Linked DNA regions of Alligator mississippiensis. The protein of the gene in region 3 purifies or fractionates together with the protein of the main gene of each other region. This does not show direct contact. Links are inferred from orthologs where the notes say so. Each region holds a gene or a part of one and is shown on either strand. Other genes may lie near its edges.

Region 1 (7,444 bases), on a different chromosome or scaffold from region 3:
AAAGCCAATAACATTCATTTTCCTTTTAATCAGTGCTAATCTGATACACAACCGATATATCAGTGAACCTCTTTTGGAAATAAGGCATTTAACAGTTAAGATGTCCTAAAAAAAGCAATACTGTAAGGTAGATAAATCAGCACATACAAGTCCAACATCCAGAATAGTTCATTTTTCTACGAACGTTACCTTACAAAGATCTCAGCTCACTTGAACATCCCAAATGATCAGTGGTATTCCTCCTGGTTTCTAGAGTTCCTCTTTTGTTTAAAAAAGTTATCTACAAACGTAAAGGCAATAATTTTGGAAGAATTTCCTATATTATATAAAAAGCACCTTCACTGTGGCAAAAGGCTCAAAGCAAGCAATTCTCAACTAGGAGAGAGAGAGTGCAACAAGTTAAAGACTAACTTGTGCCCCCTACCCTTCCTGATCTTAGACTAACAAAGTTAACTACCTCTCCTATAGTCAATGATGGCACCACACAGCTGAATGAAATGGACTGCAATCTATCTACTTTAGAATTAAAGAGTTAGACTTTAAGATGCCATCCTTACAGCTGTTACTCAATTATACTAGTTACCAGGTCCATAGCCATATCACAGGATGTAAATGCTTTGCCTGGCATACAATTCATTTTACACTGCAACAAACCTGCAAGTCAGCACCTCTTGTTCAAAAGAACAGTTCAACACATGTGGTATTCCCTAGAGCAGGGGTGTCAATCATTGAGCCAGCAGGCCATATTTGGCCTACAGTCTCCCTATCCTGCCCACCAGACTGCACAGTTGGACCCTTTGGCCCTGCTGGGCATGGCAATCAGTAGTAAGCTTGGCTTGCTGCCACCAGACTCCAGTGTTCCTCCAGCCCCCACCAGACCTGCAGTGCCCGCCCTGCACCATGGTGGCTACTGAGGCAGCCCTCCTGCCCCAGGTTGGATCCAACCCACAAGGAGCCCTGCAGTCCAGATCCAGCCTAGTGCCCCATTGGGGGCAAATACTCCTGCCCAATAGTAAACTCATCAAGTCTTTTAAAATAATCCTAGTAGATACACTGGTATAACAACTGGTTAAAGCAAAGCTACTGATGAGGGTACTTTTACCACCAGTTTCAGGAATGACCTCCATGCTAAACAGGAAGTCAATCAGGAAGTCAACAGACAAGAAATATTGAAAATCACCAAATATTTAACACAAGCCACATTCTGATTCTTAAGAGTTCTGCTTAAATTGTTTGTTTGTTTTTTAAACCGACTAAATTTAATGTAAAGCATTCATAACCTTTATACCGAATATCTAATTTCTTCTGTGACTTTAAAGCTTTTTAAGTACTACCTTACTTCTTTAGAGAATAATAAAAATTGGGGGTACAGAAATTAATGCTGAACAAGCTTTCTCCCTTATCACCTTTTAGCTCTAGTACAGAACCTTTTACACTCCACCAGGGCTAAGTATTGTGACCCACTGAGCTGGGAAGCTTCAGGGCTAGTCTATTCAGGAAAACTGACCACAGAATAACCATAATAAGAGCAATTAATGCAGATTAACTACTTGAGAACAGCAGCCACACAAGGGAGGTACACCAGCACAACTAAAGCTGAATAATTCTCTTGAGACAGCTATGGCAGTTTCCCCTTTGTAAACAGAAACATCCTTTTCTGAGCTCACTAGCCACCAGCTTCAAACAAGCCCACATATCAGGAAGCCTAGATGGCAAGACATACCAAGTGAGAATATCAGCCTGCCCCCACTTAGTTCTCTAACCAGCTCGGCCAGCTGCTGGGGAGACAGAAAATGAAGATCCTGATTTCCGCAGAAACAATGAAGCAAAATCAATATTCTCAATATAGGGAGACGGGAAAGGAGGATGAACGATTTCACAGGGCGAGAAGCAGGCAAGAACCAGTAATGAAGCCAGCTACTTAATCTAAGGGTGGGGCCCTTAAAAAAAAAAAGAAAAAAAAAAGATAACAATAATTTAGTTACCACTGCTGGACTGCCAGGCACACAACCGTCCCTTCACAAGTGCATCCACCTTGCAGAAAGCATTATTTCCCACAGATTCACCCCCAGCAAGTGCCATATACACGGAGATAGAGATTAGTTTCCATTGTGAATGTCATCTGTACAAAGGCAGGCTACTGCTGAGCTAGGCCTGCACAGACTGGCCTCCACCCAAACAATAGCAGCTAAAGTGCGAATTCTGCCCCAGCCCATAGGAGCTGGGGGGAGGGGGATGCTGCTTCAGAGCCCGTTTTGGACTGAGCCGGCCGCCCACGGGTGAGCGCAAAGCTGTCAGAGCGAGGCTCCGCACCCCTTTCTCTCCGGCAGGTTGACTCTCACTCTTTATCTCCCCTCCCCTGATCTCAGCTGGAAGACAACAGAGGCTCCCCACCACCTGCTCGGCCAACAACACGAGTCGGGGAAGGCAGCCGGGTGCCACGCAGAGGCCTACCGCAGCCCCCACACCCCGCCGGGATCCAACCCCCTTTAGCGGCCCAGGCACGGCCTGCCCCCGCGGCTGGGGGGGAGGTGCTGGGTGGGCGCGCGCTCAGCGCCGCCTCCGGGGCCCGCGAGCGCCGCCTCCAGCGCCCGGAACCACCGATGAGGGAGGCGACAGCGGCGGCCACAGGGCCCAGCCCGGCCGGCAGCGCTGGGGAGGGGAGGGGAGGGGATGGGGGGCCCTGCCCGCACCCCGCGCCCGGCGGCGTGAGGGGGGAAGGATCCGCCCCCGTGCCCCGCCCGCGTGACGGGGAATTAAAACCCGGAGGCATTTTTCTGGCGGCCCCTCCCCGCCGGGCCGGGCCGCGGGAGCCGGCTGGGGGGGCGCGGCGCGCAGGGCCCGGCGCTCACCTCCACGTCGCGGCCCTTGTTCTTGAAGCTCTTGATGCGGTGGTTCTCCAGGCCCGCGGCGGCGGCAGCGTTCTCGGCCATGGCGGCGGCGGCGGCGGCTCCCAGCTCCTGCGAGGCGGCTCCGGCGGCGGTTCGCGGGGGGCGGGGCACGGACGTTCCGTGACGAGCCGCGGGGAGGGGCGGGGCGCGCCGTTGGGGGGGGCAGCGCCGTTGCTGAGTGACGGGGCGCGCGGCCCCAGGCACGTGACGACGCCCGGACGCAGCTGCGCGCGCTGGCGCGGAGCCGAAGCCGTTGCGGCGGCTGCGGACCACAAGACCCAGCATGCCCTGCCGTCCCGCCTCCGGGGGCTGCGAGGCCCAGCGTCAAGCGGCAGTTGCTCGCGCGGCGGCTTCGCTGCGCTGCTAATAGGGAGGGGAAGGGGTGCTCCGGCCTCGGGCTGTTACCATACGGCCCCCCGTGGTCCCTGCAAGCGCCTCCGCGGGGTGCAGCTTGGCCTAGGTTCCTCCTCTGTCTCCCTCCGCTCTCGCTTCACGGGAACAGGCCCCTTGTGAGCCGGGTAGGCTTTGGCCCGTAGTTCCCAGTTCGGCTTGCACCGGGTCCGGGGCTAGGGCCTAGGCCTTGCACAGCTGCTTAGTTTCCTCCTGGTCTATCAAGCTGTTCCCCTGCGAGAACTGAGTTGCTCCCAAGCCTGGGCGGATGCAGGCGCTGGAAACGGGGTGCCCGCAGCGTGGTGGATCATCACCTATAAAGCAACAACCACCCTTCTAGTTAAAAATAAACCTGAAGTTTCAGGGATAGGGGCCTGGGGCTGTGTCATTCTGTTAGATTGAAGCAACACAATAACAAAGAGAGTTAAACCTGCAGGGCTGTGAGAGAGCTCGTTCCCACAAGCAGACAGCAGCATGGCAGAGCAGAGGTTAGCTTGACTGGTGGAACATCAAGCCCATGAAAAAGAAGAGTGGGTCGCTAACACGTGGATGAAGAGTCTAGAAATGCTGCTGGTACTGCCAAACAGGTGGTTGTAAACTAAAGGTGAAGCAGGAATCAAAGGGGGTGCAAGTGCACCATCTGGATCCACTTCTGTTCCCAAGGGTGGCGATTTCAATATTGGTGCCTCCAAGATGGACTTTAGAGGCCAAAGTAAAAAAATGGCATGATTCACAAGTGGTCACCTATGCTGGAGGGTGCAAGTGAGAGATGAACAGTGAAAAAAAAACCCATTTGTTCTCCCTCTCAGCATCCAATCTCTGCCTCTGTGTGACACAGGATAATACTGGGAAGATGGACCTATGATCTGACCCAATACATGTCAGTTCTTATGTTCCTACGATATCACAGAGACTTGGTGGGACAGCTTCCATGACTGGAATTTCAGCAGTGAGAGCTACACTCTCTTTTTGGAAAGACAGGATTGGGAGAAAAGGTGGCATTTGCTTTGTATGTCAAAAATACATATTTGTTCTCCAGTTCAGAAAGAAGGTCAGAATATATGTGGGTGAAAATAAAAGGTGAAAAATACAGCACCAATAAAATGGTGAGGGTTTATCATAGACTACAAAGGATGAAAGTGTGGATGAGACACTTCAAGAAAGTGACAAAATTTATCTCAGTTATGAGATTGTCTTGATGGGAGACTTTGATATTCCAGACACCTACTGGAAGAATCATATAGCCAAACATAAAAAGTCAAGCAAGTTTCTACCTTGTGTGGAGAACAGCATTCTTTTCCAGAAAGTTGAGGGTACAATTAGGAGATCATCTATCTTGGATTTTGTCCTGACTAATAGGGAAGAATTGGTGGAGGATGCAAAGGCGAGAAAAAGATCACAATATGATAGAATTTATGATCCTAACACTGGGAAAGTGTAAGATCAGCAGAACTAGGACACTGTATTTCATAAAGGCAGCTTTCAAGTGACTTAAGGAGATGGTACTCATCATGTCATGGAAGGACAGACTAAAGGATAAAGGCACCCAGGACAGCTGGAAGCTTCTAAAGAGTATTGGAAGGTCAACAAGAAGCTGTTCCAACATGACAGAAGCATGAGAAGAATGGCAAGAGAGCAATCTGGCTGCACAGGGAGCTTCTAAGATGCTTCAAAAGCAAAAGGAAAGCATACAGGCAATGGAGAAATGGGCTGATTACCAAGAAAGCATACCAGGAAATAGAATTTGCAGGGACAAAATCAGGAAGGCAAGAGTAAAAAATAAACTTCACCTGGTAAAGCAAGTTAAGGGCAACAAAAAGACATTATAAAAATACTAGCAAATTCCCCGTAAAGAATGACCGTGGGGGGCAGGTGGGCGGGGATGGAGCCCCGTGTCCAGCTCCGCCCCACCTTCCTGTCACACCAGGCCCAGGCCCAGACCCACTGCCCCCACCATGCCCCCCACTTCACCACTCTGAGCTCCACCCCACTCCCCCCGCCACACCCTTGCTCCCCACCACCACTCTGGCTCTGGCCCTGCTCCACCCCGCTCCGCCTGTCTGGGCTTGGGAGGGCAGAGAGGGAGACAAAGTGCAGGAGGGAGTGGGGCAGGGGCAAATTACTTGCTCCTGCCCCACTCCCTCCTGCACTGTGGGGATTACCCCACGACCCAGCCATGCCGGTGCCCCTTTCACAGTGACTGGGGCCCCCCGGTTTGTGGGACAAGCGGACCCCAGCAGCTCCTCCAGAGGTGTGGTGCTGGGAAGCTGGGGGCCCCCAGTCTGTGCATAGGGTAGGGGCAGGATCTACCTCTGCTCCCTGCCTCGCTGCCGCTGCTTTGACAGCGGCGCGGTACAGCACCATGCGAGTCCCGCTGTGTAGCAGGCCATGGTGCCGCACCACTGTCGAAGTAGTAGCAAGGCAGGAAGCAGAAGCAAAGCCCACCCTTGCCCTGTGCACAGACAGGGGACAATGTGCCCCCCTGCTCCGCTCCTTGGTGTCATGCCTCTGGAGGAGCTGCCAGGCTCCAATTGTCCCATGACCCGGCCCAGGTGGGGCCACATTCACTGTGAACAGGGCCCCGGCTGGGCCAGGGCATGGGGCAATCAAAGCCCAGTGGGTGGTCCAGGGCCATGGCACCAGGGAGCCAAAGTGAGGGAGAATGTGCCCTGGTTCCCCCGTGGTGCACGCAGCTGCAGAAGCCGCCTGTCCTCACCCCTGGAGGAACCACTGGGCTCCAACTGCCCCATTACTCAGCCCAGCCTGAGCACAACCCATCCCACCCGCCCTCTTGGCAGCGTATGCACAGTTGGGCCAGAGTATTCTGGACGGACAGACAGACAGATGGACAGAGGGTCTAAGGCTTTTATTATATTAGAAATTAGGCCAGAAGAGAAAAACAAAGGAAGGTATGGGTCCTCAATTAAATAGACAGGCCAAACTCTTAACAAGATGTTGGCTCAGAGTGGCACGAGATGCATGGGTGCATGCCTGCCACGCCCCCACACCCTGAAGCCCCCCAGCAACCTCCAACAGCCACAGAGCACCCCGATGACCCCCAGCACAGCCGGAGGTAAGTGGGGCCTGTGGTGGGAGGGGACTAGGGTAGCTCAGCTGCGGCGAGGCAGCTGAGAGGAGCCAAAGAGGGTCTTGCCCTGTCCTGGCTCCTATTTGGCCCAGCCCCCCAGGGAGCCACACAAACAGGACACACAAATAGGCGTGCTTCTGGGCCCGGCGCATGGCTTAGCGTGGGAGTTCACTCAGGATGGTGAGCGGGAGGGCCCGAGGCCCTGCTAGTGAGTCCTAGGGAAGCTAGTGCCATCAGTAGCCAGATTACCAGCGGCACAACGTGGATGGGCACACGCCACACCCCAAGGGTCCCCTTGGAATCTGCAGCCTCTCCCTCTGGCACCTCAGAGGCCTTCACCCAGATGGAACCCACAGTTCTGGGCTCCATGCAGACAGAGCCTCTGGCTCTTGGTTGCCTGGCACATTGCCAGGCACGTGGGACCAGGACCATGACCACCTCCTCTTGCAGGGTTTGCTCCACTTTGTAGTCTCTGGGGCACCAGATTGAGGAGCTCCAGGCCACAGTCCAGAGACTACGTGCCATCAGGGATGGCAAGCAGGAGATAGACTCCTACTGCCAGGTCCTTCACTCCCTGGAGGCAGAGGGTAGACCAAGGTCACCTTCCAGGACAAGGGAGGACTCAGGGATCTCCCACACAGTCCGGCCAGGGGGTTGGACCAAGGTGGTCAGCGGCCCCAAGGCCCGCTGCACCAAGGTCCCCTCCCCTCTGGAGTTTTGCAACAGGTACAAATCTCTTGCAGCCCCAGTAGAGCCTGCAGAGCTGCCAGCTGCTGCTGGCAATGCAGGCTCACCCACAACTACCATTCCTGCTCTCCCTAAGGCCACTCGTAGAGTGGTGGTTGTGGGAGACTCCCTCCTGAGGGTGACTGAGGGTGCAATCTGTCGCCCCACCCCCTTAGCCCAGGAGGTCTGCTGCTTCCTGGGAACCCGTGTCCAGGACATGGCCAAGAGGATCCCTAAACTCATCCAGCCCAACAACCACTACCCTATGCTCCTTTATCCACGTGGGCATGAATGACACGGCTCGGAGCAATCCCAGCCATGTTATGAGATGCCACATTGTTTTGGGAGC
Region 2 (7,064 bases), about 77 Mb from region 3:
CACTAGTGTGACGTGGTTTGCTAGTGTGCTCCTTTGATGACCTAGCATTCACAAAGTAATATGTTATCTCCTCCCAAAAGGCCCCCCTCTCTCACAGATTTCAGTTTCAGGATTAAGCAGAATTTCCTCAGAAGACTTTAAAGATCAGACAGCACTAAGATAGAAGAGTCCTGTCAAATAGCAACACCCTATAGATTACCAAGTCTTGCTTGAAGTCATAGTAGATACAACTGCTAGCCAAAGCAAGACAAGCAGCTGTAGCTGACCCGCTCCAGGTTTGTGTTCCAGGCTTCTTTTGCTAGACACCCAGGTTCAGATTTTTGGAAGAGTTCTCCATATTAGGCAGGGAAGACATGAACAATTTTGAAACTCTGGCCCCCAGTGACTTTCCCTCATAAATTAATTGGCCTGAAAATGATGTAAGTGCAGCACACTGACATACCTGCTATGTTTCCTAAAGCCCACACAGCCTGTTCACTGATGTGAGTATGAGGAGAAGCCAACAGGGAGATAAAAGCTGGTATGGCTCCACCATCTACCACAGCCTTTGTTTGCTCCGACGTGCCAGAAGCAATGTTAGTAAGTGCCCAAGCAGATTCAAACTGAATAGGGCTACAGTCTGCTCTCCCTAAAAAGGAGACAAACTTGGGGATCAAGCCAGCCCGAATTATGTTGTCTATGGGGGGCTGTTTCTCTCTGGACAGCAGTTTCCTAAGACAGAAACAAACACAGGGAGTTAATTTTTTTGGTCTACTACAACCTGAACAGTAGATTCCAATTTAGTCAGCAGAAGACCCAAGTTTTACTTTAAAAAGATATTCTTCCAACAGTGGCAAACATCCAAAGAAGTTCAATAAAGACTAGCTGAACACTACATTAAGTGGTTTAAAGACTGCTTTTGACAGATCCAGCTTTGTATTGAAACTGTTTGTTAAAAAAAAAACCAAAATCTGAAATTAAGCCAAGCTACTTGGTTGTGGAAAAGTAATAATGCACTTGGAACTGCTTGAAGTAAATGGCAATAACTGCCAGAAGCTGCACTACCATCTCAGGTAATCATCCTCCTACCTCATTGTGCAGGACTTTTCAAACTTCAACTATTATGCTGTATTTGGAACCAACACTCTAGGGTGAAAGCCTCCCTCTTTCACCTCCACTTTCATACATTAAGCTGAGGGAATGCTCCTCAGTACTAGCATCTCATATTCCAGCCTTACAAATAAATCGCAATACCCGCCACCTCTATAGAGCCGAGGATAAAAAAATCTGACACTTCCAACATCCACATCACCCTTAACACCATGAGACAGAAGGAAAAGTACAGCTCAAGTGCCAGGTGAAGTCTCATGCTCAGAGGACACCTCTAAACAGTCAGAGAGCACCAGCGCTTGTGTAATTCCATTTACGCTCAGTCCCTTGAATACTGACCATAGCCCAGAGAACTCATTTACTTACCTGAGGCCAGATAACACAGCATTATTTATTTACTATTAGCAACATTTGCCCAATATTAGCCTGCCAAAATCTCAGCTTTATGTTTGGTGCTTGTGCTCTGCGGAGTTAAACCCTGTTCCTTATCCCCAGTCACCAAATGACACTTACACCAAGTCGCTTACCTTGCGGCCTGAGTAGCCTGCAACTGCAGTTCTATGTTGTTACTGCTAATTCCTTTGACTATTTCTTCAACAGACCAGTGTGCACAGACCTGTCCATGGGACAGAAACAGGTTTAAGAACTACGTTAGGAGAAGCAGAAACTTCATAAGAAGTTTCTCTCTGCTTTGGCAAGGATCTATGGCGTTGTGCTTTTGACATCACCAAGCGTAAGGCACCAGGTGTAAGTACGGTGCTGTACAGGTACTCAAGGCTCTTTGGGCGAATCCGATATCCTTTATTTGACCAACTTAAATAGTTGGAAAACATCTTTTTTAGGAAGCTTTCGGGTTTAAAAACCCTTCGGCAGGCTGAGGATGGCCCTGCAGTTGGTGCGTGCTCTTCCCGAGTACAGGTACGCCTCACTTAACCTCGCCCCGGTTGACGCAGTCTCGTTACTACGCTGACGATCTATTAGAAAACACGCTCGTTCAAAGTCGCTCGGTTATACCATCGTTTGGCTGCCAGCGTAATCGGATCGACCGTCGCGTTTATCAAGAACGCGACCGCGTTCAGCAAGGAGTCGCTGTACACGCGGGACTTTCAGCGCCAAGGGGGAAACCAGCCCTAGTCTGCAATAAGCCGTAACCTCTTGCAATCAGAGGAACACTTTTGGACCCTCATCTTGCTGGGACCCCGTGACCCTGGCTGACTTCCTGCCCCTGGGGCGGGGGCCGGACTCGCCCGTCTCCCCAGGTCCCTTCCAGCCCCGACGCCTACGACGCCACTGCCGGTACCTGATTGCCCCTGTTTTCCTGCAGAGGAGAAGTGGCGTCGTCCGGTAAAGTGCTGACGTTTCTCCTTTTAAGCATCTGGTCGTCTTTCTTGGCTTTCCTCAGCTCCACGTTGACTTCGATACGCCGCCGCCGCATTTCCTGAGAGGAAAAGGAAATTGTCACGTTTTTTGGTTTTTTTTTAATTTTTAAAGTGCAAAGCGGCGCTTTAAAAAAAACAAAACATTAAAAAACAACAACGACGACAAAAAAAAGACCCCGAAACCCAGCGACGCCTCCAGGCCGGGCCGGCGCTCACCGTCGTGTCCTTGCCCTTGTTCTTGAAGCGGTTCAGCCGGGCCGCGGCCGCGGCGGCGTTCTCGTTGGCGGACATCTGGGCCGGTCGGGGCGTCGCAGGCAGCACGGATGCAAGAGGCAGACCTGGAAGGAAGCCGGGGGTGAGAACAAGGGAGAGCCGCAGGATCCCCCCGCTCCCCCCGGCCCCGGCCCCGGCCCCGGCCCCGGCCCCGGCCCCGGCCCCGGCCCCGGCCCCGGCCCGCACCGCACCTCAGCACACCTCCGCTCCGCGCGCTGGCCGCCGCCGCACTGACCCGCCGAGCACGTTGCCGCCGACCCCGCCCCTCCGCCGCGGCCCCGCCCCCGGCGGGATTTAAATTTCCCGCTGCCCCGCTCCGCTATTGGTCCGTTCGAGCCACAGCAGCCTCCTCATTGGCCGGTTTGAAAAAACCAGCTCGCCTCGCGAGGCAAGCGGAGCTCTCGCGAGACCCTCTCCCTCGGTCGCGTCACAACCCCCGAGGACTGCATCTCCCGGCGTGCAGTGCGGGACAGAGGGTCAAGGAGACTACGACTCCCGGCAGGCCTCGCCCGTGCTTCACTCTGCCCGCGGGGGAGGGGGAGGGGGAGGGGGAGCAAGGCATGCTGGGAGGTGTAGTCTTCCCCCATGGGTCCACCCCCAACTGTACACAGCTCGGGTTTAGAGCGAGCAGAAAGCAGGGAAGAAGCTCATGCAGCCAAAGTGTGCAAGGACAATTTTCTTGCCATTTTCCACTTGGTCTAATGAAAGGGATCATTTTGGATCTAAGAGTTCTAGTTTTTTGTATGTCAAAGACTTGAGCGGCCTTTTAGGGCGCTGAGCTACGGGAACAGCGCTGCCCGTGACGAGCAGGGATTATTCAGGCCCATGAAGGCTGCCGCGTCCTGCACCAGCTTCCACTCCTGGCTGGGTGGTGTGGCCCCCCTCCAGATCTGACTGAGGCCATTTCGAGTAGATGAAGTGAGGATGAGACCCGAACGGTGGCTCCCGACCGCTGCACGACAACAAAAATACTCGCTGCCGGGCCCAGAGATGGAGCAACAACACTTGTTAATCCGCAGGATCCCAAACCACTAATAACATCAGGGCTGCCTGATCGCACCTGCAGAATACACCAACCCCAGCAGTCCTTATATGCGAAACCTTTCTGGGCCCTGCGGGACGAGGACCAAGAAAGCCAGCGGCACTGAGATGTTACGCGGCACCCTGCTTTCCAAAAGCTCAATCGAAACCGGATTGTTACTGAGCAACAACGACGCTGTCAGCCACCTGGCAGAGCTCCTGGAAGAGGAGTCTCACACGCTGCAAGACAATCAGCACCTGCCTTCTCCACTGCAAAGCCTCAGTGCTTCCCATGCATCTCCAGCAAAACCAAAGATGTGATTTCCCTGCTCTACTTGGCACTGGTGAGACCGCAGCTGGATACCACGTCCGGTCTGGGCACTGCACTTCAACAAGGACGTGGCAAAGCTTGAGAGAGTCCAGAGAAGAGCCACTCGTGTGATCGGAGACTGGCACAGCAAGCCATACGAGGAAAGGCTGGACATCTTCAAGAGGAGACTGGACAGTCGCCTTGCTGGGGTCACTTGACCATGGGTGACTGGTGCCTCCTGAGTCTGGGGGGCACCAGATTGCCAATGGGGGACGGAGGTCTCCCAGCGGCCAATTGCCGAGCCAGCGGTGAAACAGGAATGCACTTCGGGTTCTGCAGCTGGCACTTCCAGGGGGTGCACGTGCACCCACGTGCACCCCTTCCATGTTGCCAGTGACCCCACTTGTCTTTCCTGCCTAGTGCAGGGGGCTGGACCCGATGATCTTCCAAGGTCCCTTCCAGCCCCTACAACCCGTGTCTCTATGAATTAACAAAAAAAGATCAGAATCCAGAGCACACTTTTCCCAACACAGCTGGCTGGAGTCAAGCAAGCAGGAGCCTGTGCAATACAACCCAGCTGTCCAGATCTCACCCAGAACGACAGGCATCGATTAAATTAGAGCGTTTTGACCGTGCAGATCCAAAACCCAGGGTCGCTTACAGGTGGATGACCAGAAGCCCCTGGGAAATGACACTGCAAGCAAAGACAATAGGAAAGGGTCAGAAGGCTTGATTTATTCACTCTGAGACGGGGCTTATTTTGTACGTAGTTTATTCTGAGCCTTAAAATAAAGTTTGTTCTGATTCTTAAAGTTCTTAAAAGTCTTAAAATAAAAAGGGGTGATGTGAGGCTGGGTAGCCGAGAGGGAAGCAGACAAAGCCACCTGTCTGCAGGGGACGACAAGGAGCAACGGCCCTAGACTGCCAGAGCTGGTTTCGGGCTGGACATAAGGAAGAATTGCTATTTGCAGTCTGGAGTCGCGTCCCAGGGAGGCGGTGCCGTCCCCAAGTCCTCCAGAGGGGCTCGCGCAGTTGGGATCACTTGATCTCAGGCCAGAGCAGGCGGTTTGTTTCTTCAACTCCTCATTCCTGTGCAGGCAGCAGCACCGAAGAGCCGGTGGCAGACAAGGGGCAGAGTGCAGGTGGTTGAGGCTGAAGCTGGTCCCACCTGCTTGTCCACAGCCCATTTCCTGGAAGGACATCACCCAGCTTGCATTTCGCCCCAAACGGACGCACTGCAGCCTCCAGGGGAAACTCAGACCCCGGCCCCATGCGCAGCGCCGTGCACGGCCCCGCGCCCGCGCCCGCGCGGCCGGCAGCGCAGAGCAGGGAGGCTAGGCCCCGCCCACTCCGGGGCGCGGCCTCGTGGCGAGAGCGGCCGGGGCGGGGGCGGGGCGAGCGCGCGGGCGGGGCCCTTAGAACGCGCCGCGCGCCGCTCTCGCCGGGTGACCCAGTGGCCTAATGGATAAGGCATCAGCCTCCGGAGCTGGGGATTGTGGGTTCGAGTCCCATCTGGGTCGTACCGCAAACACGTTTTTGCGGCGGCCCGGCGGCCTCCTCCTTGCCGGCAGACGCTTTTAACCGCGCCTGGGCCGCCCTTGGCCCCGGGGGAAGGGCCTGGGAGCTGCCGAGGGCTGAACAATGGGCAGCGATGTGCAAACTACGGCGGTGCAGGGGGGGCTTGTTGCTCTGGTGGGAGCAGGGAACAACCCCGCTTATCAGGGCTTTAGTCCCTTTAAACGTCTCCCCCCGGTCCTCTCCCAGGGCTTTTGCTACTGCTAGTCAGGCTTTACTAGATGGGAAAGACATTGTCATCATCCAGCCGGGCTGGGAGCAGGTGCCACATCTGTCCCCGGGCACGCTGCACAAGTGTTCGCTCGCCAGCGGGACCGGGAGGCACTGGTACGCGCACGCGAGGCGCGTCGAGCCAGGGTCAGGGAGCAGCCGGACACACCGCTGCGTTTCTGCCATTGAGTCACCGAAGATAACGATTCATGGTTTTTTTTAAAGGAATTATGCCAGGACAAGACACGGGCACGTGAACGATTGTACTTTGTGCCGGTATAAAAATGGTTATCCCAGGACAAACGCAGCGTCTTTTTGTAGGCCTGTTGCTCAGCACAAAGGTACCACCATTCCTCCGCCATTACGACGGATACCCCAAAGGGAGTGAAATTGCGGGGAAACATCCCAACGCGGCTACATAGGAGCATGGGCTGGGGTGTTACACAGCCGGGGGTTATGACTGTATACAGTTTTCTTTAAGGACCCCACATACAATCCGCTGAGACTCGGATATAAATCACGTACAAAAAAGAAACTTTGTTATAATTCACAGCACCGCACCCTACCCTCCCTCCAGCCGTCTATGCAACCTAGCCTGCGCTTTCTTCTCTCGCGCTTTCTTCTCTCGCGCTTTTGGACTCTAAGCCAGATCATTTCTTTACTAGTAGAGAAGTTTAAACAACTTAAATATGGTGATAATAAAAAAACACACCCAAAAAACCATGCTCAGCTGCTTTAAAAAAACAAGACACTTTGCATCCAGGGAGATTCTGTTGAAATCCTTAATTTCACAGATACAATCATTCAAACACGAGCGATATCCGTGATATACAACTCATTTAAAAGGAAGAACATTTCCATGTTGGCCATAGCAATGAGCCACAAAGAGATGTCTGAAAACTTTGTTTTATTTCAAGATTTCCCACTGAGGGCAAAACCCAGCCCTAAGACCGCAGCACCCTCCCACATGTGCTTGGGCTTGAGCAGTGCCTCGCTACAGAGCCATGTGGCAGGAGCACCGGAGCGACCACATGCATTGATTAATTGGAACAGCGATCATCCTCACTAAGCCACTTAGCCTGAAACAAAGGGCCAGCCCCAGTGCTGCGCCTGGCTTTTTGATGGAGGGCTCCACATGGTTTGTCTTCCTCTGGCTGGAAAGATGTGTTTTGGCACCCAGCCCACGGGATCTTCCCTATCACACCTGG
Region 3 (7,311 bases):
TGGGCAAGCAGTGGGAAGTAAAGGAACCATGGTGAATTAAGTCACAGTAGTAAGTTATCCACACTCACCTGGATGGGAGCACGGGAGCACTAGTTTGCTGATTTCCATCTTGTTTCAACCAGGAATAAACACGAGAAGAAAAGTGACACCCACACCAAGGGGAAGCTCAGACAAATGCAGGCATCCATCCCTTAGCATGCAGGATGTGCCCCCCAGGCCCGTCACAGGTAAACAGCACCAGAGCACAGACTGCAGAGACAGGATTATACGTTTATTTAAAAAACCCAAAAGACACTTAACAAAAACCACACAGTAACTGGGAGACTGTGCCCCACCTAGGCAGTGCCAAGGGCACGGCGAGGACAGGGACTCTGCAGGTCTGACTGAGCCCAGGGATAGAAGTGCAGGCACCACTTGCACTGGCCAGTACAGTCTGATTATGCTTCTCCAACCCAAGCCAGCAACAGTGCTTTAAAACAGCAGGAGACAATGTAAACGGTAGACTTGAAACTCCTGCCTGTGCCTGGGCAGGTGAGACAGCTTTGATGGCTGATGAGTTCTCAAAGCTTGAACTTGAGGGAAACAACAGTGGCTGGAAGAACAGCTTGGAGGCAGCCAGCTGTGCCAGAGAGAGCAAGAGGAGTGAGTTGCTGCCAGGGTCTGGGTGCCATGCTGCACTTGTCCTTAAAGAGAATCCTGCAGAGCTGGCCACGCTGTTCCCTTGCTGCCCTGCATTAGCAGGGAACAGCCTCTCTATCCCAAAGGGAAGGGGAATGAGCAAATGTAGACAGCCAGTCTAAGGAGGATCACTTCGTCCTGGAACCTGGACCTTGCTCCCCATCCCAGTCCAAAGGGCAAGGACAGGGCTATCTATGGAGGACCAGTGCCCTTCTCTGTGCTAGGACAAATGAGGCACTTAGTAGATCATAGTCTGCTGATTCGCCTTTTGCATCTGGATGATCTTGCCAAAGCCACCTCTCCCCACGTCATAATCCGTCCGGTACTCATCTCGCACCTGGGGGCAGAGCAAGAGGAGGCATTAACACCCTCCACCTACTTACATGTCACAACGCTTTTAGGAGCCAGCTTCCTCTCCACCTCACCCCAGCAGTTGGTGGGCTGAAAGCCAGGGTGCAAGTTCATGTTTTTCAACTCGCTTGATAACACCCCATCACAACAGGGACAGGACAAGTGTGGGGCTGTTTTGAATGTCAAAGCAATACAAAACAGTCCAAACACTGTTCAGTTTGGCTTTGCAGTCTGGCTTGACGGATTGTCAAGGTTGAACCCTCTGAAATCTGGGAATGAATCTCATCTTCCCACTGGCGCATCCCGTCTGACAAGACTGCCCTTGCAACCACACAACAAAAACACGGGGCTGGCAAGACCTTCAGGGGGTCACATCTAGGGCAAGCCCCTTGCTTGAGGTAGAGTCATCTGTGTCAACCATCCCAGACTAGCACTTGTCTTTCCCGAGCACCGTTTCTTCCTCCCTGCTTGTTTCCTCCATCAATCTGACAGCATCTCATTGACAGCAGAGCAACATTCACTTTGCGCCCTCAGGAGCCGGGAACCCAGCTCTTCAGCAGCAGCAACTGTCAATCACTTACTCCAGTCCAGCATCAGGTACTAAACCAGTTTGACCGGCTTTAGTTCAGTTATTGGGTCTACGCTGCATTACTCTTGCTTTGTGTTGGCTCAGTCACGGTGAGCAGCACCCAGCTGAGCCCCGGGGAGCCATGTTCTAGACTGACGTTGGTCTGTTGCTTACCTGTCCTCCCGTCTTTCCTCTCCCGTACTGCCGGCCCTCCTTAAACCCTGCGTCCCAGTCTGTCCGGATAATGCGGTCATCCAGACGGGTGCCATTAATAAATCTCATTGCATGTTCAGCTTCCACTCTTGTGTAATATCTGGAATAACTTATAAGGAAAATACAAGGTGCTGTTCTGCTGGGTAGGGAGGTAGAAAGAGAGAGTAATTTTATATGGCATGGAGGAACCCTGACTTTCAACTCAAGACCCAAACGCTAACTGGCTCCAGTCCCCTCCCAGCGCAGCGCGAGGCCGCGCTCGTGCGTCTCAGCTCTGGCACAGCGAAAGCAACAGCGAGGGGTCCCTCGCTTCAGGGAGAGGCCGGGCGCTGCCCCCAGGGCGCTACACGTGCCCCTTTCCGGGACAGCGCGTGCTGAATTTGTACGCAGGACTTCAAGCTGCATCAGCCCCGCTTCGAGCCTCGTTTGTAGGAGACGCCTCGTTTAGCTGCCCGTGCGCGGCCGCTGAAGATGCTACTGCGCGGGTCGGTCGGTGATCGCACGCACTGCGATGCGCGCCGTGCATGGGCACCGCCACGACAGCCGCCCACCGGGCCGGCACAGCGCGGGGGACACCCCCGCCCGGAGCAACGCACCGACCGCACGGTCCCTCCGCCGGCCAGACACCACGCGCGCCAGCACGAGCAGCGGTCCCACCCGGCCTGGCCCCGTCCCACACGCGGAAAGGGCTGAGACCCGGCGAGGGGCAGCAAAGAAGCCCCTGGAAGAGGGCACCGCGCCGCGCAGGCAGCGGCTGCAGGATACTCCACGAAGCAGAAGCCGCACGGCGTCTTCTTGATCTTGTCCAGACCCATGACGATGCGCTTGACGTCGCCGCACTTGGAGAAGAGCTCCTGGATCTGCTCCTCCGTGGTGTAGAAGGACAGGTTCCCCACGTACAGCGTCGACGACGCCTTCAGCGACTTCTCCTGCAGGTACCGGCTCCCCTGGGGGCACAGCGGGCGTCAGCGCGGGGGGGCCGGCTACCCCCATCCCCTCCCCCACAGCCCGCCGCACCCCAACCCCCTCCCCAGCCCTGCCCCACGTCCCCCGGCGCACCCGGAAGTGCTGGTCGCGGTACTGGCTGATGTCGCAGTAGGAGTCGCTGCTGAGGCCGCCCAGCGAGGTGCCCAGCAGCCCCGACATGGCGCCGCAGCACGCGCCGGCTCCTCCCGCCCTTCTAGCCCCGGCGCAGCGCCGCCGGAACCGCCCCTCCCCCGCTCGCCCGCGCGCCCACCCCATTGGGCCCAGCGCCCGCCACTCCGCAAGGAGAGGCGGGGCGGCGCCCCCATTGGAGGAGGGCCCTGCCCGCCAGCCAATCGCCGCGTGGGGCTGGCCTCCGCCGCGCCGGAAGTGCGCGTGCGCGGCCGCGGGGGGCGCTGGGAGCTGTAGTTTCGCGCCAGGCGCGAAAGCCAGGCGCGTGTCCCGGCATACCTCGCGCGCCCAGGCGCTGAGGTGCGAGGAGCGGGGTGTGAGGCGCAGGCGCTGCCTCGTGCTTGGGGCAGGCCCGAGCAGCCTGGCGCTGCGGCATGGCGGGCGCCCCCAGCCTCCCCGCCCTGCAAGGTAGCGCCTCCCTCCCCTGCCCGCCGAGGGTTTGCAGCCTGGTGTGGCGGGGTGAGGGGCCCTGCTTGCTGGGGGCGGCCTGGTTCACTGCAGGCCCTGCGCACCCCGCTTCTCCACCTCACCCCCCTTCGCCAGCCTCCGTCTCCCAGTGCAATGCAGTGCAGCGCCGCCCGGCTTCCCGCCTCCGAGAAGAGCAAGAGCTCCCCCGAGAAACCCTCCCGCGCCGTCTCTGCTCCCACGGCGCTCCGGTGCCACCGCAGCGCCGTGCTGCAGGACAGCCTCGAGTTCGAGACGAGCGCCCGGGAGAGTCGCCCGGGAGACGAGCAATGGGGCGCTCGTTACAGCCGATACGAAAAGCTGTGTCTGGTGTAGACGGGAGGCCGGCAGGGTTTTCCAGTGTCACAGTGGCGTGCGTCTGCCTCCCTGGCGTCGGGGCTGCGTGCTGCGCCGGGCGCGGTGGCGTCCCGAGAGCAGGCTCTGACAGAGCCGGCAGCCTCCTGGGCAGACACGCAGCACGTCCGGGGGTGCAGCGGCGACTGCCGGGCAGTCTGGCTGTTCAGTGGTGCCGAGCTGCTTTGCCTTGGAGCCGGGCCGCCAGGAACAGGCTGAGTCGTCAGGGGAGATGTGCCGTGAAGCGGGACGCCTCCGGCTGCCGGGGCCCCGCCCCGGGTGAAATACTTCTGGCCCTAAACCAAAAGCTTAGCGACCAGTGCGTAACGTTCGACGTGAAGGCCGTGTCTCGCCCTGTACCCGGTTGAGCTGAGCGCACGGCTGCAGAGGAAATAGCAACCTGTATTTGTTTTAGTTTTGGAGTCTAAAATAGGTACTTGATAACTTGTTCCCGATCAAGGAAAAGGGCACGCTCTGTTACGTAACTTACAATTAAAAGTAATGCGTGATTAGTTCTGGCGTGCTAGGATTACAGGAAAGGAAATGTGGTCGACAGATTCATTTTTGTTAGGACAATATGTAATAAGGTAACTTGTGAAACTCGCAGTGGCTGCAGAGCCTTGTGTGTTCCTGAGTTCATCAGTTAAGAGACTTGGACAAAACTTGTTTTGCCTTTTCACGTTATTGTTTTTGATGTCTTTGGAAGTTAAAACTATTCTCTCTTGCCAGAGATTACAGGGAGCTTTCCGTCGACTTGAGTAAAACAAACATTATAGTGACTGGGGCAGAGGTGCGGGAGGGATTCGTTTTGCTCCTGGACCAGAGTCAGGGTTTTTGTTAGCAAGGTACTGGGCTCTCATGTCTGTACCGTGTAGTGCTGCTACTGGCTGCCCAACTGGGGGTAGATATTTAAGCTAGCACGTGAAAAACTATGGAATTGGAGACAAGGGAGGGCAAAAAGGTTTTATATGGTTTTATTTGGTCCCCTAAACTGCTCTGAGGAGTAGTTTCCAGCTGCCGTTGTAAGGGATTTACCCACTAAAGCAACCTCATTCCTTCCACATTCTGAGAGTGGTTAAGAGAGCACCTGATCAAGTCCGACTTTTTCCTTTTAAGCCAAGGGCAGGGATTTAAAGATTTAGCAGTTTTCTCTCTTTTTATAAAGATGCATGGGGGTTTTAGGATTCTAGAATCGGTGGTGGCAGGTTGTTCTATGATCCTCAAAGGAAGCGCTGGCGTTGGCTTACCAGTATCAAAGATCCTGAATACAGGTTGTGTACATTATACTTTCAGAGGGCCCAAGAATAAAAGTTGTTTAGGAGGGAACAAAAGACTTGGGGGAAGCAGACATTTTATTCACAGATAAGATGTGCCACATTCTGCACTCTTTACTTATGTTTAGTTCCTTTGACAAATGTAGATTTCACTGCCGCAGTTTAGCAGAATATAGCCTTATGCCTTAACTAAAATAAATTTTCTTTAGAATAGAGTTGTTTCTCAGGAGTTACTTTGTTCAGCTTCTCTTGGTCTCCTTGTTTGTGCTTTTTTATTAGCCAGGAAAATATGAAGAAAATGTAAACCAATGGGTTTTGCTTGTACAGACTTGTTCAGAGATGATGTGCTACTCATAACATTTGTATGGTGCTCACTCCGTTTCTGCCTCATGCACCTTATTTTTCAGAGCTTGTTCAAGAGCTGCTGAAGAGAGACGCCCCATCCAACGTTCCTGAGATCATTGACAAACTATTCTCTGAAATAGAAAATGTGGATAAGAAGGCAGAGGACGAGATTCAGGAGGCTGAGGTAGAAGGCCAGGGACTGTTGGATCCCAAAGCTGGATATTTAAAAACAGTCTGTTCTTACAGCCAAGGTGGAGGCAAGCAGTATCTACTGCAGTTTGAATGCTCATTGGCTGGTGCAGATAATGAGTTGTCATAGTACTGAGAATCTATAAAAGCACTTACATTTTTGCATGTTTTACTTATGTTTTGTATAACTATAGAGCATACACTATAACATTTCTACTTCTCCATTAGCACATTTGAAGAAAGTAGAGGTGTTTCTAAAAAAAAAAAAATGTAAATATTAGAATAGTAAACATTAGCAACTGGCAAGTGGGGGATTCCACCTGTCCTTCAAAATGATATGTATTAATGTTTTTGAATTCTGAGGCAAAATATCCTTATTTAAATGTCAACACTACTGACATGAATGAGATGCTGTGACTTTTTACTTTTGAATCTAACAATGCAAAAAGACTAAAAAAAGCACAATAGTAAAATAAATGTAGAAAAGAATAATGAAGATGTTAAAATTGTAAATACAAACACTCCAAAATCGCAATATAAAAACACTGAAGTTTTCTTAGTAAAAATCTTTCCCGTGCTTCACATTGATTAGTGATTACTAGTCATAATTTTAAATGTCCACCTAAATGATAAACTGTAGATGCATTGTAAATGAGTTAATACTTTTGGAGTCTTGGCTTTTTGATTGCTTATAGTTCATACCTAATCAAAATAGAAGAGATAATTGTGTAAAAGCTTATAAATTTAGTTCTTGGTTTTTCCCCTCCTCCAAAATCCTAGTTAAGGATGATTTACAAATAAAGTTGCAAACTTCTCCCATTTTTAAATATCCCTGTCAAAATCTTGCTTGGAAATGTTAGCAGACAAAGATTTTGTGAACTACTTCATTGGAAGTTCTCAAGAAATTGGATAAGCATCAGATATACATGATTTAGGAGTAGTGTTCATGCCAGGGGTTGGATCTAGAGGGCGATCCTCTCAACCCCCTCCAGCCCTATTACGCAATGATGGATGTAAGGGAGGTGAAGGCATCTTGGTTGTTTCCAGCTGCAGTCCTGTTCCCTCTTATAACATGCTACCTTTTGGATGCCTGTTACCTAACTAAGCTGCTAGTGAAACTTTTACTTCAGAAATATTTTATATAAATATATTTTTCCTAAAATAGGAAAAATAGGTTAGGTTCATAGATTTTTATAATCCAAAGCCAGAAGGAACCGTTATTATCCCCCATGTAACCTGACCTCCTGCATAACATGAGCCATACAATTTTACCCAGCTATTGTATCGAGGCCATAACTCCTGGTTGTGCTAAACCATGTTTTAAGGAAAATGCCCAGTCTCGATTTTAAGACTCAAAATGATGGAAATCCAACACATCTCCTGGTATGCTGTTCCAAGGGGTTTTTTTTACTTTGGAATTTGCACCATGCTTCAAGTCTGAATTTGTCTAGGCTCAGTTTTTAGCTGTTGTCTCTTGTCTTAGCTTTGCCTGCTAGATCAGGGGTTGGAAATGTTTTCTGGTGGGGGACTGGAATGACTTGGCTCAGATCTTAGGTGTGTGAGCTTTAGGACCAGACCGCCTCTGCCACTTCTTCCTGCCAGCCAACTGTGGCACAGCACAGGGAGAGCCCCTACTGCCAAATGAGACCTGGCCTGCAGGCTACAGGCTGCTGATCCCTGTGCTAGGTTAAAAGAATCCTGTACTGTTGGAAAACTTCCATGGAGGAACTTGCATACCCC
Region 4 (6,868 bases), on a different chromosome or scaffold from region 3:
CTCCCCTTTGCCCCGAGTTGCTGTCATGTTAGCAGCACCAACCCCCACCGCACCACTGTCCTGTGGGCAACACAGTAGCTTCCCTCCACCTCCCCTGCCACCTAAGCCCTTCCACTGCACCAGATGCAAGCTAATCAGGGCTCCTCCCAACGTGCTGCCCTGACCTAGTAAAGGCTGCCTACACTGAACCTCCGCAAAGTGCTCCCCACCAAAACTACAGGCTAGAATCCACATCATCTAGCCCCTTTGTCACACTGACTTGAAAGGCTACATTTGACCAGATAGATAACTTTCCTTTACAAAAGCTATTCTGATTTGCTTTCATATTAAGGACTTAAGTAGCTGTTACAGTCGATTACTATTTTGACTTATCTACTCAGAAGTTATACCAATGACTCATCTACAGTTCCCAGGATGATCCCCAGGATTCTCTTAAAATAAGTACACGTATTTCTTTCCAATTCTCCCAATGCTAGTAATAACTTTTAATGGAAGACTGCACACTTCTATTAGCAGAGCAATCCACAAGTTCCCTCAGAACTTCTGGATCTATACTATCTGCTCCTGCTGACTTGCTGCTCCATGATGCATTCTAACACCTCTTGTTAGCGCATCTCAATATCTGACTTATTTATCTGTTTATTAATAAACAGATGAAGTATGAAACTAGTATTTCCCCAGTATCTGCTGCTGTAAAGAAGAAAGCAGCCATCTAGCTTTTCTCTAGATAGATTTTACTCTCAATTGCTCCCTCAACTCCCAGAACACCTAAAAAGATTCTCCTGAACCTTCAATTTTGTATCTGATACACTTGAAAGCATATATACTCTTTGCTTTTTCCATCCCTTTTTAGTTCTTCTAATCCCTATATTTCACTGACCTATTATACACTCCTTTCTTCACTTATTTTCCATTTTGAAAGAGACAGTGGTTTATTTGGAATGACTTCATGCACCTTGCTATATGGCCATACTTCCCTGAATTAAAAAGGGAAATGTTTTCCTTCTGCACACGTAAGCATACTTCAAGTCAATCTGTCATTTGTCCCTCCAGAACAACAACTGTTGAAAAACATTCCACACTCTCATGGAAAAAAGCCACAAACAGTTAAAAGGAAATCAACACAAGCCCTACAACTACAGAACAGCAGCCTCAAATAAAGCATATTATTCTACTAGGTTCAGCTGACTGAGCAGAAAAAGCGGGTTGCACAGCAGCGCTGAACTTATGACACTATTCCCTTTGAAAAAATCAGACAAGGCAACTAAATACATGTTTTAAGCTTAAAGATCCCTCGTTAAGAATGTTTCAGCAACTGTTGAAGAACCTGTAACAAGAAAACCCAAACCTACTTTATTGGGAGTAAATCAAGCTCTTTTCCTGTAATGTAGCATTAATTATATATTTTTTTCCTTTCTAAGTGAATTGGTTATCCAAGAGAAATACAACACTGAGCTCAGTATATAAGACCCAGGGTTCCCATCAGCATATTTACGAGATTTGTAGCAAATGCACCAGTATATAGCACTCTGATTGTTAAAAAGGAAAAAGCCATGTCACATGCAGCAGCAGCCAAGATGTGATACAACAGAATGTTTTTAAACAAATGGAGGGAGACCTCAATAAACCAAAAGCAGATAGTCTCTAATTCCCAGGGGTGGCTGCATTCTACCAGAAAGCAAAGTTGTAACTGCACCTACATGAAAATTTATGGCAACAGAAATCAGCTGTTGATAAGAACCCTATTCTCAAGGTTTCCTCGGTGATGCAACCCATCCAGCCACCCTCCCAATTTTTATGCCACAATTTTAAGGATCTGCCTACACCAGTGGTGCTCAACCTCTGAACCACAGGCCAAATGTGGCCTTGCAGAGCCATCACATTTGGCCCACAGAGCTCCCCATGGATACAGAAATTTAGTGGTGAAACAGAAATGGCCACCCCCCCCCCCCCGCTGCCAAATTTCCATGGCCCCTTCCCTCAACACAGCCAAATCTGGGGTGCGCCATGCCTCCTTCTCCCCACCTCAGGGTTGGGTCTGGGCCACACTCCCTACCTCGCCCACCCACCTGAGTCAGGGTTGGGTCATGCCCCACCCCGGCTGAATTGGGGTTGGGACACACCTACTGCTCCTATCTTTTGCAGCTGGGTTGGGGGCAGGTCGTAACCCCTTCCTCACTGTCCTTACATGCCCCCACAGGACTGGATTGGGCAGGGCTGTTTCCTGGCCCCCTCTGTGCAGCTGGATGGAGCCACACCACACCTGCCCATGAACAGACCAAGTAAGGCCCATCTGGCCCACCAAGGGAAAAAGCTGAGCACCACTAGTCAAAGATATGACTGCAGCTCATGTAGCTGTATCTGTACTGGCTTTAAGCTAGCCACCTCACATGCCAAAAAACAGTGCAACCCTGACAGCGCAGAGTTCAATGCAGATGCAAAATCTACCCACAAAGTTAGGTAAATAGGAGATGGATCCCTGCTGGCAGCTTAAAGCCTGCATTGGTATGTTTACATGAGCAGTAGTCACACCCGGGGCTGCTGCAGACACACCCTTACTGCCACAGCTGTCACCAAGAGCAAGAGGTGAGGCTGGACAGCATGAGGACAGGAGAGCCCCAATCCTTCTGCCCCCTCTGCCTGCAGAAACAGTAGCCCCAAGTCACAGCAGCACTCCCGAGCCGGGGGGCAGCCGGGCCACCAGCAACTCACTGAACGTAGCGACCTCCAACCCGGGGCAGGAGCCCGCTTACCAAGGGTGTGTGCCTACGCCGGCCCCCTCCCGCCCGGGGCCGCCCCGGCCTGGCCGCCTCCAACCCCGGGCGGCCCCGGCGTCCGCCCCGCCCGGCCGAGCTCTGCCAACACGGGCAGCCCCGTCCCGCCCCCCGCTACCTGCGGCCCGTCAGCCCGGCCCGGCCCCGCCGCGTGTCGTGTCGGGCCCGAGCGCGCGGGCACGGCTCCTGCCTGCCCGGAGCTGGCTGGGACCTCTACGCGCATGCGCCGACCTTCGGCGCGTAGCTTCCGGCGCCGGCGCGCAGCCCGCTGGGACACGGGGCCCACTTCCGGCCGGGGAGGGTGGGGCGGAATAGGCGAGACCCTAGTAGCCACAGACTCCATACCTACTACGGCCGGGCGAGCCCACGGGACTACATCTCCCAGAGTGCAGCGCAACACGCCGTTCTCCTCTCCAACCCGTTTTCCAGCGCCAGGCCTTGGCGACTCAGGGCTCCCGCGCATGCGCGGCGGCGTCATTGACCGCCCGGCCCTGACCCGGGGTCTAGCGGCGGGGGCGGGGCCGCTGAGCCAGAACTGCTACCTGCGCCCCTCGTCACCGGGGGGGGGGGGGTGCGAGAATTACCGTATTTACACGAAAAGTTCTGGGGCTGAACGATAATTTTTGAGGCATCTCATTTATGCAAGAGATGCGAAACCCAAATTGTTCTTGGGGACTTGTAGCTGACTTTGCGGCTTGCCGTCAGCACTTTCTTATGATGTCTTGCCTCAAAGGAATGCATCAACTTTGATGATCCAGTTCCCACTCCTTCACAAGTATTTGTATACTTATTTGCATATTTGTTCAGTGTACGATAGTTTTGCAGCAAATGTGATCATTGTGAACTTCCAATGCGATAATTTCATATTTAAGACCTGACAACACTGCCCTCACGCCTGTCTTTGGCAGGGGCAACTGACATCATAGCGTATGGCGTCCTCTCTCAACAGCCTGGACTGCGTCGCATCCACTGGCTGCACGGCGGGTCACAGTGCCTGCCTGAAGCTGTGCGGCTCCTCTGGAGGAGGGGAGAGGGGCTGCAGTCCTTCCAAGGGGGAGGATGTTTTGCAAAGGACCTTCACAAAATCCTTGGCAAAAACGTGCACCTTGCATTTGCCTTTGCCTCAGGGGCACCAGTTGCCTGCAGCACGAGGGCTTCTGTCCTCTGCCATGAAGTGTTTCTGAGAGCGCTGCACAAGGAAGCAACACCAACATGGTTTAACTCAGTCTGGAACCATAGCGCTACAGGACTGCACCATGAAAGGGAGGTGCCCATGTGTACAAAAGAGGTGTGGGGTAAGTGTGACATAGTTAAGTTAGGCCCAACATGACACTTTTTTTAATTTCTCAAGTATTGTAAACTCTATCCTACAAATACCTTTTTAAAAAGTCCACCCAGATGAATCAGTGTTTTTTGACACTGTTCTTTGTGAAATCCCCCTCCCCTGACATCCTAGAACAGCAGGGGGAAAAGCTAAGGAAAAGGCAGAGGCAAGGAAAGGAGAAAAAGTACAACCCAGAGGACTCAGCAGTCTACAGAGCAGGAACTACAGGGCCCCAGGGACAGGGGGCTCTACAGCCGTTGCTCCAAGAAGGAAGAGAAGAGTGGCGTTTGTCAACTCCCTGCTGCAGCAGACAGAGGCACCAGCTTGACTACATTTGGGGTCCTGAGAAATGTGTGTCTGCCTCTGAATTCAGGATGTCACAGAGAGACTACCAAAGCTCATCTATCCTTTAGACCACAACCCTTTCCTGCCTGTCCTTGTAGATACCAACAACACTGCCAGGAGCAACAGTGAGCAGTGTCCTTTAAAGATTCCTGAGGCTCCTGGCATGAGACTGAGCACAAGTGATGTTTTCATTGATACTCCCTGGAAAGGCCCAGGAAGGGACCACCATGGAAATAAATGTGTGGTGAGATGGTGGTGTTGGCATGAAGGCTTCAGATTTTTTAACAATGGATGGATGTTCTGGGGAGGAGAACTGCTATCAAGTGATGGGGTCTGACTGACCAGAACGGGAAAGAGCATCTTGGGCATTGTCTGGCCAACCTAGTAAGGATGGCTTCAAATTAATTATGGGGGTGGTGATCAAAATCTTCCAGTAATAGAGCAAACGATCCAGAGGGGAAAAGACTGGAATAAGCAATTCAACTCTGGGAAAGGTGCCAGAGAGCCAAGGGACAGCAACAAGTGGTGCAAAAAAGAAGCAAGTACATCAAAATGCAAAATACATGTACACACATGCAGGAAGTGTGGGAAATAAAGAAGATGATCTGGAAGCTGTAGCCTGTGAAAGAAATATAACCTGATCGGTATCATAGAGACCCGATAGGACAGCTCTTATGACTGGAATATCACATTGAGGTTTGCAATTGCCACCAAAGTAAAATTGTAGCCTCTTGTTGGACTGGATAGTCTCCTTTAAACTCACCTGCCACAACTTAGATGGAAAAGGAAGGAACCAAAGATGGACACAGTCCTGTGAGACAAAGTTGGTGTTAAATCTACAATTTAGAAGACTGGCTCCTCTTCACAGGGCTCCCCTATTCCCATCCCCTGTCCTTACCACACCAAATGTTTCAGCAGTAATCTCATTAGGTCCCCTCTGTGGGAGCCTCAGTCTCTGGGTTGCCTTGACTGATTTCTAGGCAGCCGGTTTCTTGTTCTTGGTTGCTTGCCCCATTATTTCCCACACGGGTCCCAAGCAGACCATCATACAGCTTGTCCCTACCCTTATCCTTCAGGACACGATTATATTGGGCCAATGCCCCAAACTCATGTTCACGCTCGGTCTCTTCTTTCCCCTCCTTCATGTCTCTGGATTGCAGTCCCACACCCACCGGACTCAGACTCACTGGTTTGGATGCTCCAACGACCTCATCCTTCCTGCTCCGTGGGCAAGTACTTCTTCAAAATACTCTCCTGAGTCCCTTAGGTTGGTTGCATGCCACCATTGTCACTTTGTGGTCCCACGGGTCTCCCTCCATGCCATTCCCTTCACCCGAGGAGAGCTGACTGCTCAGTCGGCTCTCTTTTAAATTCCCGCACTGATCAGCTGTGTATTCAGCTTCAGTGTCCCATTCACTGCTTTGCTGGCTGTCACAGCTGATTGCTTTAATTACCATCTGGGAATTCCAGCATGACTTTTCTCCCATTCGGGCTCACCACTGCAGTAAGTTTAGCTTTTTCCTTTGTTCTTTTGGTGCTTTGTGACCGGGTAGGCTTACTACCCTGTGCCCTGGTTAGGGGGAACAAGACAGAAAAGTAGCATGCGTTTGGATGAACATGAAAGGTGAAAGATGCAGCACTGATATAATGATGGGGATTTATTACAAGCTCCCAAATCAGGAAGAGAAGATGAATGAGGCACTCTTCAAGGGGGTGATAAATCTATCCAAAAGCTATGGTATGGTACTGATGGGAGGCTTCAGTTTTCCAGACATCTGCTGGAGGCTGCAGTTTTCCAGACATCTTATTCGACCTGGAGGGATGTGGGCAGTGGCGTTCTGCAGGGCTCAGTCCTCAGGCCCGCACTATTCAACATCTTCATCAGCGACTTGGACAAAGGGGTAAAAAGCACCCTGTTCAAATTTGCAGATGACACTAAGATGTGGAGAGAAGTGGGCACGCTAGAAGGAATAGGCTGCAATTGGATCTGGACAGGCTACAGGGGTGGGCAGATGAGAACAGGATGGGTTTCAACACTGACAAGTGCAAGGTGCTGCACCTGGGGAGGAAGAACTAGCAGCAGACCTATATGCTGGGGAACTCCCTTCTCATCAGTGCAGAGGCAGAGAAGGATTTTGGCGTCATTATTGAGGCCAATATGAACATGGGCCGACAGTGTGGGGATGCGGTCAGGAAGGCCAACCATACCTTGTCATGCATCCACAAATTCATCTCAAGCAGGTCCAAGGAGGTGATCCTCCCCCTCTATGCGACACTGGTCAGGCTGCAGTTGGAGTGCTGCATCCAGTTCTGGGAACCGCACTTCAGGAGGGATGCAGACAACATGGAGAGGGACTGTCACGGCGGGGTCCTCGCGGAGGGCCGTGATCTCCTCAAGGTCCCTTGCTCCGTGTCAGGCCGGCCC

Evidence for each region.
Region 1: the proteins of nuclear cap-binding protein subunit 2 (region 3) and KPNA3 purify together in Homo sapiens (co-immunoprecipitation; 3 studies listed by BioGRID and IntAct, with this or other methods). This does not show direct contact. The link is inferred for Alligator mississippiensis from reciprocal best matches to the Homo sapiens genes NCBP2 and KPNA3.
Region 2: the proteins of nuclear cap-binding protein subunit 2 (region 3) and KPNA2 purify together in Homo sapiens (affinity purification with mass spectrometry; 4 studies listed by BioGRID and IntAct, with this or other methods). This does not show direct contact. The link is inferred for Alligator mississippiensis from reciprocal best matches to the Homo sapiens genes NCBP2 and KPNA2.
Region 4: the proteins of nuclear cap-binding protein subunit 2 (region 3) and KPNA1 purify together in Homo sapiens (affinity purification with mass spectrometry; 3 studies listed by BioGRID and IntAct, with this or other methods). This does not show direct contact. The link is inferred for Alligator mississippiensis from reciprocal best matches to the Homo sapiens genes NCBP2 and KPNA1.

What each region holds. Positions count from the first base shown.
Region 1 is NC_081824.1:414,741,488-414,748,931, forward strand, and holds the start of KPNA3 (importin subunit alpha-4), read right to left. Parts: upstream 3,007-7,444; 5' UTR 2,934-3,006; coding exon 2,853-2,933; intron 2,329-2,852; exon of another isoform or gene 1,986-2,328; intron 279-1,985; exon of another isoform or gene 190-278; intron 1-189. UniProt on the Homo sapiens protein: Functions in nuclear protein import as an adapter protein for nuclear receptor KPNB1. Binds specifically and directly to substrates containing either a simple or bipartite NLS motif.
Region 2 is NC_081831.1:6,287,651-6,294,714, reverse strand, and holds the start of KPNA2 (importin subunit alpha-1), read right to left. Parts: upstream 3,017-7,064; 5' UTR 2,933-3,016; intron 2,807-2,932; 5' UTR 2,760-2,806; coding exon 2,685-2,759; intron 2,528-2,684; coding exon 2,390-2,527; intron 1,706-2,389; coding exon 1,617-1,705; intron 712-1,616; coding exon 443-711; intron 1-442.
Region 3 is NC_081831.1:83,089,427-83,096,737, reverse strand, and holds nuclear cap-binding protein subunit 2, read right to left. Parts: upstream 3,007-7,311; 5' UTR 2,957-3,006; coding exon 2,870-2,956; intron 2,758-2,869; coding exon 2,576-2,757; intron 1,911-2,575; coding exon 1,772-1,910; intron 1,016-1,771; coding exon 917-1,015; 3' UTR 259-916; downstream 1-258. Other genes in the region: TEX11 (testis-expressed protein 11), read left to right, coding at 3,340-3,373, 5,445-5,566. UniProt on the Homo sapiens protein: Component of the cap-binding complex (CBC), which binds co-transcriptionally to the 5' cap of pre-mRNAs and is involved in various processes such as pre-mRNA splicing, translation regulation, nonsense-mediated mRNA decay, RNA-mediated gene silencing (RNAi) by microRNAs (miRNAs) and mRNA export.
Region 4 is NC_081824.1:238,043,146-238,050,013, reverse strand, and holds the start of KPNA1 (importin subunit alpha-5), read right to left. Parts: upstream 3,003-6,868; 5' UTR 2,893-3,002; intron 1-2,892. UniProt on the Homo sapiens protein: Functions in nuclear protein import as an adapter protein for nuclear receptor KPNB1. Binds specifically and directly to substrates containing either a simple or bipartite NLS motif.